Nothobranchius furzeri: one gene and its partner. The protein of the gene in region 2 purifies or fractionates together with the protein of the main gene of each other region. This does not show direct contact. Links are inferred from orthologs where the notes say so. Each region holds a gene or a part of one and is shown on either strand. Other genes may lie near its edges. The genes, in order: plekhj1 and ocrl.

Region 1 (4,396 bases), on a different chromosome or scaffold from region 2:
ATTCAGCCAAAGTTTCATAATCAGGGAACATTTTCTAAGTGACAAGTCTCTCTGAGCGACAGGGTTTGGAAAACACTCGCTTCAGTGGGAGGAACCTTCCCGCATGCGCTCTGGTTCTGCGATGCGCTCCAAACCCCTCTCCACAACTTCAGCTCCCTGTGCACATATGCGCTGACAGCGAGCTGCGCTGAGCAGCTCAGATGTTCAGATGGGAATCTTTTCTTGGGTGATTTAGCTACATTTGCGATGTGTGTAACGAATAAAATGTCAGTTCGTCTGCATGCGTCGGGGTAATTCTTTCTATTCTGGAACTATCCGGTCAACTCAAGCCCTGCTTTTGACTGTTCTGTTTTCTTGTGAAAATTGTTGGAAAGAGATCAAATTTAACTTGATTACCACCAGAGCCAGTGCGCCGTCATCTCCGTGATGGTAAACGAGGGAAAAACAAATTGATCGAATCCTGCACGTCTTTTAACACATTGGTCAGGATTGACGCACGTTGCTTTCATTTAGCTGGTTAAAAAAAATCGGGCTCGGGCCAGAGAATCCTGAAAACCTTTTCGGGCCGGGTCGGGCTGGGGCTCCACCCCCTCAGGCCGGGCCGGACACGGGCTCAGATTTGAGGCCTGTGCAGGGCTCTACCTCAAAGCGCAACACTGTGTTTGGCCAGTAGGTGGAAGTAATACGGCATAGAAATTCAATTCAATTCAAAAATACTTTTTTTTTTTTTGAATTAGAAAATTTAAAATTGAATTAGAGATGCTGTTTAAACAATATAATCAAATAAACAGGAAGAAATAAACACAAGTTACAGCAACCACTGTGATTTCAGCTTCAAATTAAACCAACAATGAATCTGCGTGAATGAGGAAGTGACAGGGAGTGAGAATGAGATTCCGCACCTTCTGGTATGCTAGCTAGTTGTTTTCTCTATCAGCATTCACAGCGTTAAATTTGCTGATACTGATTAGCCCAAAATTCTCCAGTTCTCTCTAGCAACCAAACATGATTGGCTGTCTAGTTGCAGTTTAGGAGCACTGGAGGAGTGAAAATGGTGGGCCTGATGGAGGAAATTCATTGTTTAATGAGAGACAGCTGATGAAAATTATGAATCATTCAAATTGCATGTGGGCACACACAATTAAGAAAATCTGACACATTAATAGTAAATATGTGAATATTTATATATATTGTAGTCTTATTTACTTTTTAGAATTACGCAGGAAGGCCGGCACTCCTTATGGACCAGCCACCACTGTTTACATTCATAATTTAATAAAATACATTTGAGTTCATTGCATAAATCTGTAAAAAACATTTTTGGAGTTATTGAAATTATGGATGTTTTCACATCATGACACCAATAATTAAAGGTGCAGTCTGATTTTAGCCAGACTCACTGTTATTGGACTCACCTTCCCAGTGAGGCGGTGGATTTCAGTTCGAAAGAATATAAGATTCCTCCTCATAAACTCATAACTGCAAGAGTATAGACAAGATACATTAAACAGTTTTTTTGGTTTAAGAACCAATATTATATAATAAGTTCACAGACGACTGTTGATCCTAACTTAAAATACGTGTAAAACAACAGTGTGAACATCTAACTGTATTTTACTCTGTACACTTGAGGTCAGATAAGTCTGGACTGATCTTAAAGAGCAAGTCACTCCCAAATCAACTTATTTTTTCTGATAAACTAAATGTGCGTTTAATTGTGCTGCAGACACGTGTAGTCAATAGTTTAGCACTTTATTTAAAATTTTAATTTTCTGCCTAAAACTGTCAGTGTTGTGCCATTGTCAGGTAAAAACTCAGCACTGCATTTGAATTTAAATCTGCCATCCCTATTGGCTAAGAGGTACCTTAAAACGTTAGCTGGTACCATATGATGTCACAATGTCGTTGTGAGCCTGTGTGTGTGTGCGTGTGCGTGTGTGTGTGGATTTGTTAGTGGCCCCGCCCTCTCAGTCTGCTAGGCAACAGCATTTGTTGCATTTGACCAAACAGGAAGTGGGAGTGGAGTAATACTTTGGTAGGGGGTGACTTGCTCTTTAAACAGCAGATCACAGCAAAAAGGAAAATTAAAAAGTCTGTTTTACCTTGCTTTAATAATAGAGTCTATCCACTCCTTACATTGCTCCTCGGAGTTGCACTCAAACACGTATTTTTTCTCAGTTTCATCTAGAAATGCTACAGAGAGACAAACACAACATTAACAAAATGTCACCGCCAATCAGCCTGTAAGAAATCAACACAGAAAGGGAGTCTGGGGCTCACTAATAGAGAAGGTCTGACTGTCCTCTTTCTCCACCCGGCACTGCTCCAACAACAAGGCTCCAATTGGCTGAAAAATAAACACTGAACTCATTAAAATGTTACAGCTCATCATCAGGGACAGAGAAAAAAAACTCATCTAACCTCCTCCTCATCTGTCCGGAAGTAAAAAAGGAAGTTAACTACGAGTTTCACCAGCCGCCTCTTGACAACTGAAAACACACACGCACGCGCGTACACGTACACACACAGAGAGAGAGAGAGAGAGAGAGAGAGAGAGAGAGAGAGAGAGAGAGAGAGAGAGAGAGAGAGAGAGAGAGAGAGAGAGAGAGAGAGATGATCAGTTTCACCGATATGACCCAAAATAACACCAAGCGGAAGTGAAAAGTGACGGAGAAAGTAACAGGTCTTACCGTCTCCTTTCTTCGGACCTCGCATTCCCATTTCAGCGGCCATCTCTGAAGGCTGGCGGCTCAGAGAGACCAGCTCCCTCTCGTTGAAACGCATCGCGTAAAATGGGAGGGGGGACACCTTTGCTAGTCTCTACGACCAAAACATTTCAAATAGAGTTAAAATAATAATATAAATGCAGTAGTTTCGTTGTTTATCATGTCGACTTATTCTGATTCTTTATCCGATGTCCTGAAAACGTGATGGAGAGTGTTTGGTTATTTCCAGGGTGAAGTAAAGTCAAGTGAACGGCATCTGCTAAACAAACAGGAAACGCTGATCGGTTCTTCTTCTAGTGGAGAGTTTAACGGTGCTTGTTAAACCAAATAGAAATACGCTTTCGCCACCTAGTGGGCTAACGCTTAAATGGCTCGTAAGAGCGAGGAGTTGCATGATGTCTGGATAGATAACTTTATAAACGTTCACTGATTAATATTAAAACTTTATGTTCCTCAAATACATTAAATATATGTTTGAGTGCTTCTGACTGAACAATAAACATTTACTCATTACTTGAGGTAGTTTTTGTCCCGTGCCCTGCAACTACAAAATAATTTTTCTAGTTTTTCCTATTGTTTTATAAACATTGAATTATAAATTACTTTATTTTCTTACAGGACTTACTATTTTCTTTTGTTAAACCGTGGCACATATAGCAAAATATTTCCTGAAGTATTTTAAAATGAAAATAATTATTACATTTTAGAAAAAAATCAAACATCACTCTGTTCAGGTTATGTTCTTCTTTTTCTTAACTGAAAAGTACTACTATGCCACGACAAAACGTTGCAGTATAAAAATTGATTCGCAAAATAATATTGCAAGACTTAAAATGAAGCACATTGATTTAAAAATCCATGATTGGGAGAAAAGAGTATTGAAAAGATTCCTTGTTAAATTAAATAACTGGAATAACACCAAATGTTGAACTGGTTGGTTTTATGCCTGTTTAAACTGCTGATACTAGCTCATCAAATTCAAAGCTCGTGCTCCATGAGAGCTAAGTGTAGTGAAAAATGGGTTTAGCAAAATTGACAAAGCAAAAGCATCCATCTGTTTTCTTCTGCTTATATGGAGTCAGCTTGTGGGGGCAGCAGCCTAAGCTAAGAGGCCCTCCCCAGGTTGGGCCAGCTCCTCCAGGGGAATCCCAAGGCGTTCCCTTGCCATTCGTGTGACATAGTCCCTCCAACATGTCCTGGGTCTTCTTTAGGTCTCCTCCAGGTTGGACATGCTCAGAAAACCTCACCATGGAGGCATCTAGGAGGCATCCTAATCAGATGCCTGAGCCACCTCAACTGGCTCCTCTACACCGAGCCCCTCCGGATGACTGAACTTCTCACCCTATCTCTAAGTGAGAGCCCAGAAACCCTGCAGAGAAAACTAATTTTGGCTTCTTGTATCTGCAATCTCGTTCTTTTGGTCACTACCCAAAGCTCATGACTAAAGGTGAGGGTAGGAACATAGATCGGCCGGTAAATCGAGAGCTTCGCCTTCTGGCTCAGCTCTCTCTTCACTACGACAGATCGGTACAACGTCCGCATTACTGCAGACACGATCTCATCCCACCTGTAAATCTCACTCGCCATCTTTCCCTCACTCGTGAACAAGACCCTGAGATGTATAAACTCCTCCACTTGGGGCAGGATCTCATCCCTGGACCCAGAGAAGG
Region 2 (4,610 bases):
GCTGTAAGTATTTTGACTCCGACATGGAGAAAAGCCACATACCTCGTACAATTTCAAATTTATCATTAATGGGTATGGACAACTGAGCCACCGGACGGGACACAACAGCTTCAGGGTTGGCCAGAACACCCAGTCTGTGTAGAAACAGCAAGCATTCTGCCTTATCACAACTGTTGTTTATTTTAATATCAAGATTTTCCATCTTAAACATAAAGCACATATATAAAAAACATTGCTGCTAGCACTGACGTTCATGCAGGGTGCTTAACATTAGAACAGAGAAGATGGAGTCAAGATGTGCTTTAATTATCATGAACAATAGAAATTGAAAAAACACACATGCAAAACCTCTCTTTAGTGGCACACAACAAAAACAATAACTAGCAAGCACTGTGCATCATTCAGTTAATCAATACAAATCCACTGAGCATATAAAGAAGATTAAAGTGTTAAATTATCAAACTGTTGACACAAACGGCTTCAGAAGCATGATGTAGGTTTATGTAGGCAGGGTCACATTCCTGTGCTCACTAACATCTGACTAACAGCAGAGGACAAAGAGTCTTCCTGGGCACTCACTGCCCACTCTTCCCCTTCACTTGGTCTGATTATAGTGGAGAGGACAATTATTCAGGACTGCTGGGCAAAATGTGTCAGAAGCAGTTTCCCGAATCTGTCAGGATGAGAACTTCCGATGTAAACGCAACAGAATATTCAACAGGAAACAAAATGGTTTTTTTTATTCTCCATTTGTACATTTTAGAGCCTGACGTGACAAACCCTCCAGTTTTGTCTGTTTTATCCAGATTATTGTGTCAATAATCCCATAATTTGTGTACCACAAACTGGTACTGATTGTATCCCAAGCCAATGTACAGAAGTGCATAAAAGCAAATACCACAGAAAAACACACCGAAGGCACAGAACACTGGTATGAACCTCAGGTAATGCCTTATGTCATGCAAAATCTTTCAATCATTTAAAATAAATCATGTCTATTTTGAAACATTCATAATGGTTTTTTCCCTCTTCATGACATTACTCTTTGGTGGCTTGTGTGGGCTTGCAGCCTGCAGCCTGCGTGCCCATGTGAGTCTCATTACAGCTAAAGATGAAGTGAAGGAATTCTGGATAATCTGCAGTGAGGTTACTGCTGGTGAAAGTAACTCCAAGCTACACATATGATTAAACATCTCCCTACTGTCTACACACAAAGTCTCCTTTCACCAAATAAGCCCTGGAGCTGTCCAGCTCACAGAAACCACGTTCTGCCCACATGGCATCCAGTTATTTTACACCTAAGAGCTAATCTGTGTAGTGACAAGAGTGGTGTGTGTGTGTGTGTGTGTGTGTGTGTGTGTGTGTGTGTGTATGTGTGTGTGTGTGTGTGTGTGTGTAAAGGGGCATGCTCATTCAGTTAAACATCCTGGATTTAAAATAGCCACCAGCCTGAGATAACTCAAAAAGACAAATAAATCTGACATTCAGGATAGAAAACACAGACCGATGTTGGTTATCCCGGTCAACATCAAAATAACTTGAATTTTCATTTGCACATTTTAAGATTCCATCAGTGTGACAGCAGTCTAGTGCAAAGTGTGTTTAAGAACTTCATAAAACACAAGATAACAGCTCGATTGAATGTTAAGAGCTCTATTTTTGATTATGGAACAGGAAAGTAACTTGTTAAAGGTTAACTGATGAAGCAGCTCCTGTATACCCATATAATTCTGCTCAGGTCACACACTTCAGGTCAACTGCAGCTTCCTCTGACAAAGACAGCTCTCAACAACTTGGGTTTCATTTGAATGAAGTCAAAACTAAACAGGAGCAATAATAAAACAAAACACCTTACTGTGTTATTAAGCGATTCAGCAACAAACACACAGCTTTGGGACATTGGGACAACCCAATGTCAACATACTTTCAGTAATTGTTATTTCTGATACTTACTTAAACTCTCCATTGTGTTCAATTAGTGACAGTAACCTGGACTCCTTCTGGCCAGACCTCAGCTCCTGAGCTTTTACAGTTTGAGCAGCACAATCAAGGAATCATTGAGATGGATGATGAGATATCACAACTACAGCTGTTACCCAGTACTACCGGAACAGTGTTCGAAAATCATTATGAATAAGTCTGTCTTCAGTTGAAGAAAGATGTTAATGAAGCCATGCAAACTGAAAATCAGGAAGGAAATTAATGACAAGCATTAACAACGTGAAATAAGAGAGAAAGAATAGTGCCAGTGGCAGCAAAAATCTAACAGGGGCAAATATTAAACCAGGTTGTTTTATACAAACAACATTTGAAACCTGAGCCTGGAGGCTTTTTCATAACCAGGGTAAAAGGAGAAACCTGGGCCAGATCAATCCACAAAAAAACGGAGACTTAGATCACTAGATCCACAGACGTGAAAGGAAGAATTCAGGGTTTGACCGAGCCCATCAGTACAGTAGAGGAGCGGCAAAGAACAAAAATATATGTATCTAAGCAATTTTAGCAATACAAGCTACACATATCCTCCGTGTTTAGCAGTTCTTAGTGTTAGCTGTTACTGTGACTTCAACCACTGGATAATCGCAAATAGAATGTGATGCTACATAATCATAATACATAACAAGAAAGGTAAATAAAACTGGGTGAAATTATCCAGTATTAACTAAATGTGTCGCCACAATAAATGATGTGTCACTGCTTTTGTGGAAAAGAAAATTCTTTCTTAAATCAGCCCGAATAATAACATTAAGTAGCTATCTCACAACGGTTTAGTGAATTAGCCCTCTGATCAACTGTATTTACATGGCTAGCTGTTCATAACTCATTCGCTAACTCGTATACAATTCAAACACAACTTTAAGGATATTGCCAAGCATTCTTCGTTGCAAATCCCCAGCGTGGACTCCATTCTTACCAAGATAAATAAATACGTATCACTTTTAGGGTCTTTACGTTGAGCAGATGTTGAGGCAAAAAAAAAGTTAAATCTCCACCCGGCGCTGTGGCGGCCTCCTTCCGGGAAGCTGGCTAACCGCTCCTTTAGCCAGCTGTTGTTATTGTTGCCGCTGGAAGGTCTCACAAACGTTTAATGGAATTTAGGAGTTAAAACAACCCCTGATAACTTCCATCATTCTGTCAGAAACATGAGAATGTTCAGTTTCTCTCGTGTCCCTCTCGGTGTCAAGAGACAAACCCCTCGGACAACATAACGTTATCGGGTGGTTTGTAGCACACAGATATGCTACACTTCGAAGACTCCCAGGGTTTGCTCCCTAGCTAGCTACCCAGACTAGTCGTTCTTCGCCTTCATCAGACTTCAATTTTAGTGCACTCCTTCGCATGAAGGTACTTAGCGCTCCCCAGTGTTCTGGAGGATGAACAGACACCCGGCGACTTCATGCCGCAAAAACAAATGCTTCAAACTAATAGCAAATTATTTATATTTTCTGCTTAAAAATCTAAATTACGTTGTCCAAGACAGACACAAATATTTAAAAAACAATATTTGATTTTTTTCTTGCATATTAAACAGATTCAGTTGAGAGTATTAAAAAAACTTTTCAGTCAGTTTCCTTGGAAACGTTTTATTATTGTGGAGTTGTTTGAGACTAACACCAGAATGAACAGTTATGAAACAGAATATTTTAAAGAAAAGTCAATCAAATGGATAGAGTTCATCTGAGCCTTGTCCATTCCTTTACACAAAGAAAGTCTAAATCAGAGAAGATAAATGTCATTGTGGATAAAACCATACTTGTTCAAATCAAATCTGAACAAATAGTAGTTTGAATAGAGCACAATGACTCCTTGTTATTGTGTGTTTTACATTATGAACATAGTTAATTCAGAGAGGTGTAAGTTAGGTGACATTCAATCAAATATCTCTCTGTGTGTATTCTGCTCTTTTAAATCACCGGATATGGCTTCACACAACTGTTATAGGTTTTTATTTTGTGAATTGCATAAGGACTAGAGTCCAGGTGTGGCCAGATGTCTCCAATGGGCAAATCCCTCGTCTGCTGCACATCAACCATCTCCATTGTTAGAGCTGACGGGCTGAGAACATCTGTTGTACGGTAAGACTGTGTGAGGCGACAGAAGGAGGAGGTGTCTGAGACTTCTTCATCGAAGAGGTTGTCTATGAGCTCCTTCCTCTTTCTGCGTGATGCTTTTATCTGATCATTCAGGTCAGAAACCAGATCCTTAACATCTCTCACTATGGTGGAGCGAATTCCAAACAGGCAGAGTAGGAACACCAGTCCAGCACAGATGCCAGAAACGAAGTACAGAGCTACTCGCTCCGGGAAAACTGAAGGAGAGACGAATGTGGTTATCATTGGTCAAACAACATTTGTACTGCTTCATCCTGTACAATATGCAAATGCTTTAAAGGGGTCTTGACAGTTTTTGAAGTTATAATAGTCCTATGGTCTACGCAAAGTGTTTATGAAGTTCTTTGCTCTAAATCCCCATCCCATAAATCAATCTCAACAAATTTGTTCTTGCCAGTTTCAGTACCTTCCAGAATGAGCAGTCTCAGGGCTCTGTCTCTTTCAAGCAGCACTGGTTAGTTTACAGAGAATGCTGCAGAGCACACCATGTGGCCATTC

The links.
Region 1: the proteins of ocrl (region 2) and plekhj1 purify together in Homo sapiens (co-immunoprecipitation; 3 studies listed by BioGRID and IntAct, counting the BioPlex papers as one, with this or other methods). This does not show direct contact. The link is inferred for Nothobranchius furzeri from reciprocal best matches to the Homo sapiens genes OCRL and PLEKHJ1.

What each region holds. Positions count from the first base shown.
Region 1 is NC_091751.1:56,887,910-56,892,305, forward strand, and holds the start of plekhj1 (pleckstrin homology domain-containing family J member 1), read right to left. Parts: upstream 3,022-4,396; 5' UTR 2,785-3,021; coding exon 2,691-2,784; intron 2,490-2,690; coding exon 2,422-2,489; intron 2,348-2,421; coding exon 2,281-2,347; intron 2,194-2,280; coding exon 2,103-2,193; intron 1,480-2,102; coding exon 1,416-1,479; intron 1-1,415.
Region 2 is NC_091741.1:85,247,942-85,252,551, reverse strand, and holds the start of ocrl (inositol polyphosphate 5-phosphatase OCRL), read right to left. Parts: upstream 3,086-4,610; 5' UTR 2,909-3,085; coding exon 2,868-2,908; intron 2,035-2,867; coding exon 1,954-2,034; intron 135-1,953; coding exon 43-134; intron 1-42. Other genes in the region: si:ch73-335m24.2 (protein eva-1 homolog C), read right to left, coding at 3,906-4,309. UniProt on the Homo sapiens protein: Catalyzes the hydrolysis of the 5-position phosphate of phosphatidylinositol 4,5-bisphosphate (PtdIns(4,5)P2) and phosphatidylinositol-3,4,5-bisphosphate (PtdIns(3,4,5)P3), with the greatest catalytic activity towards PtdIns(4,5)P2.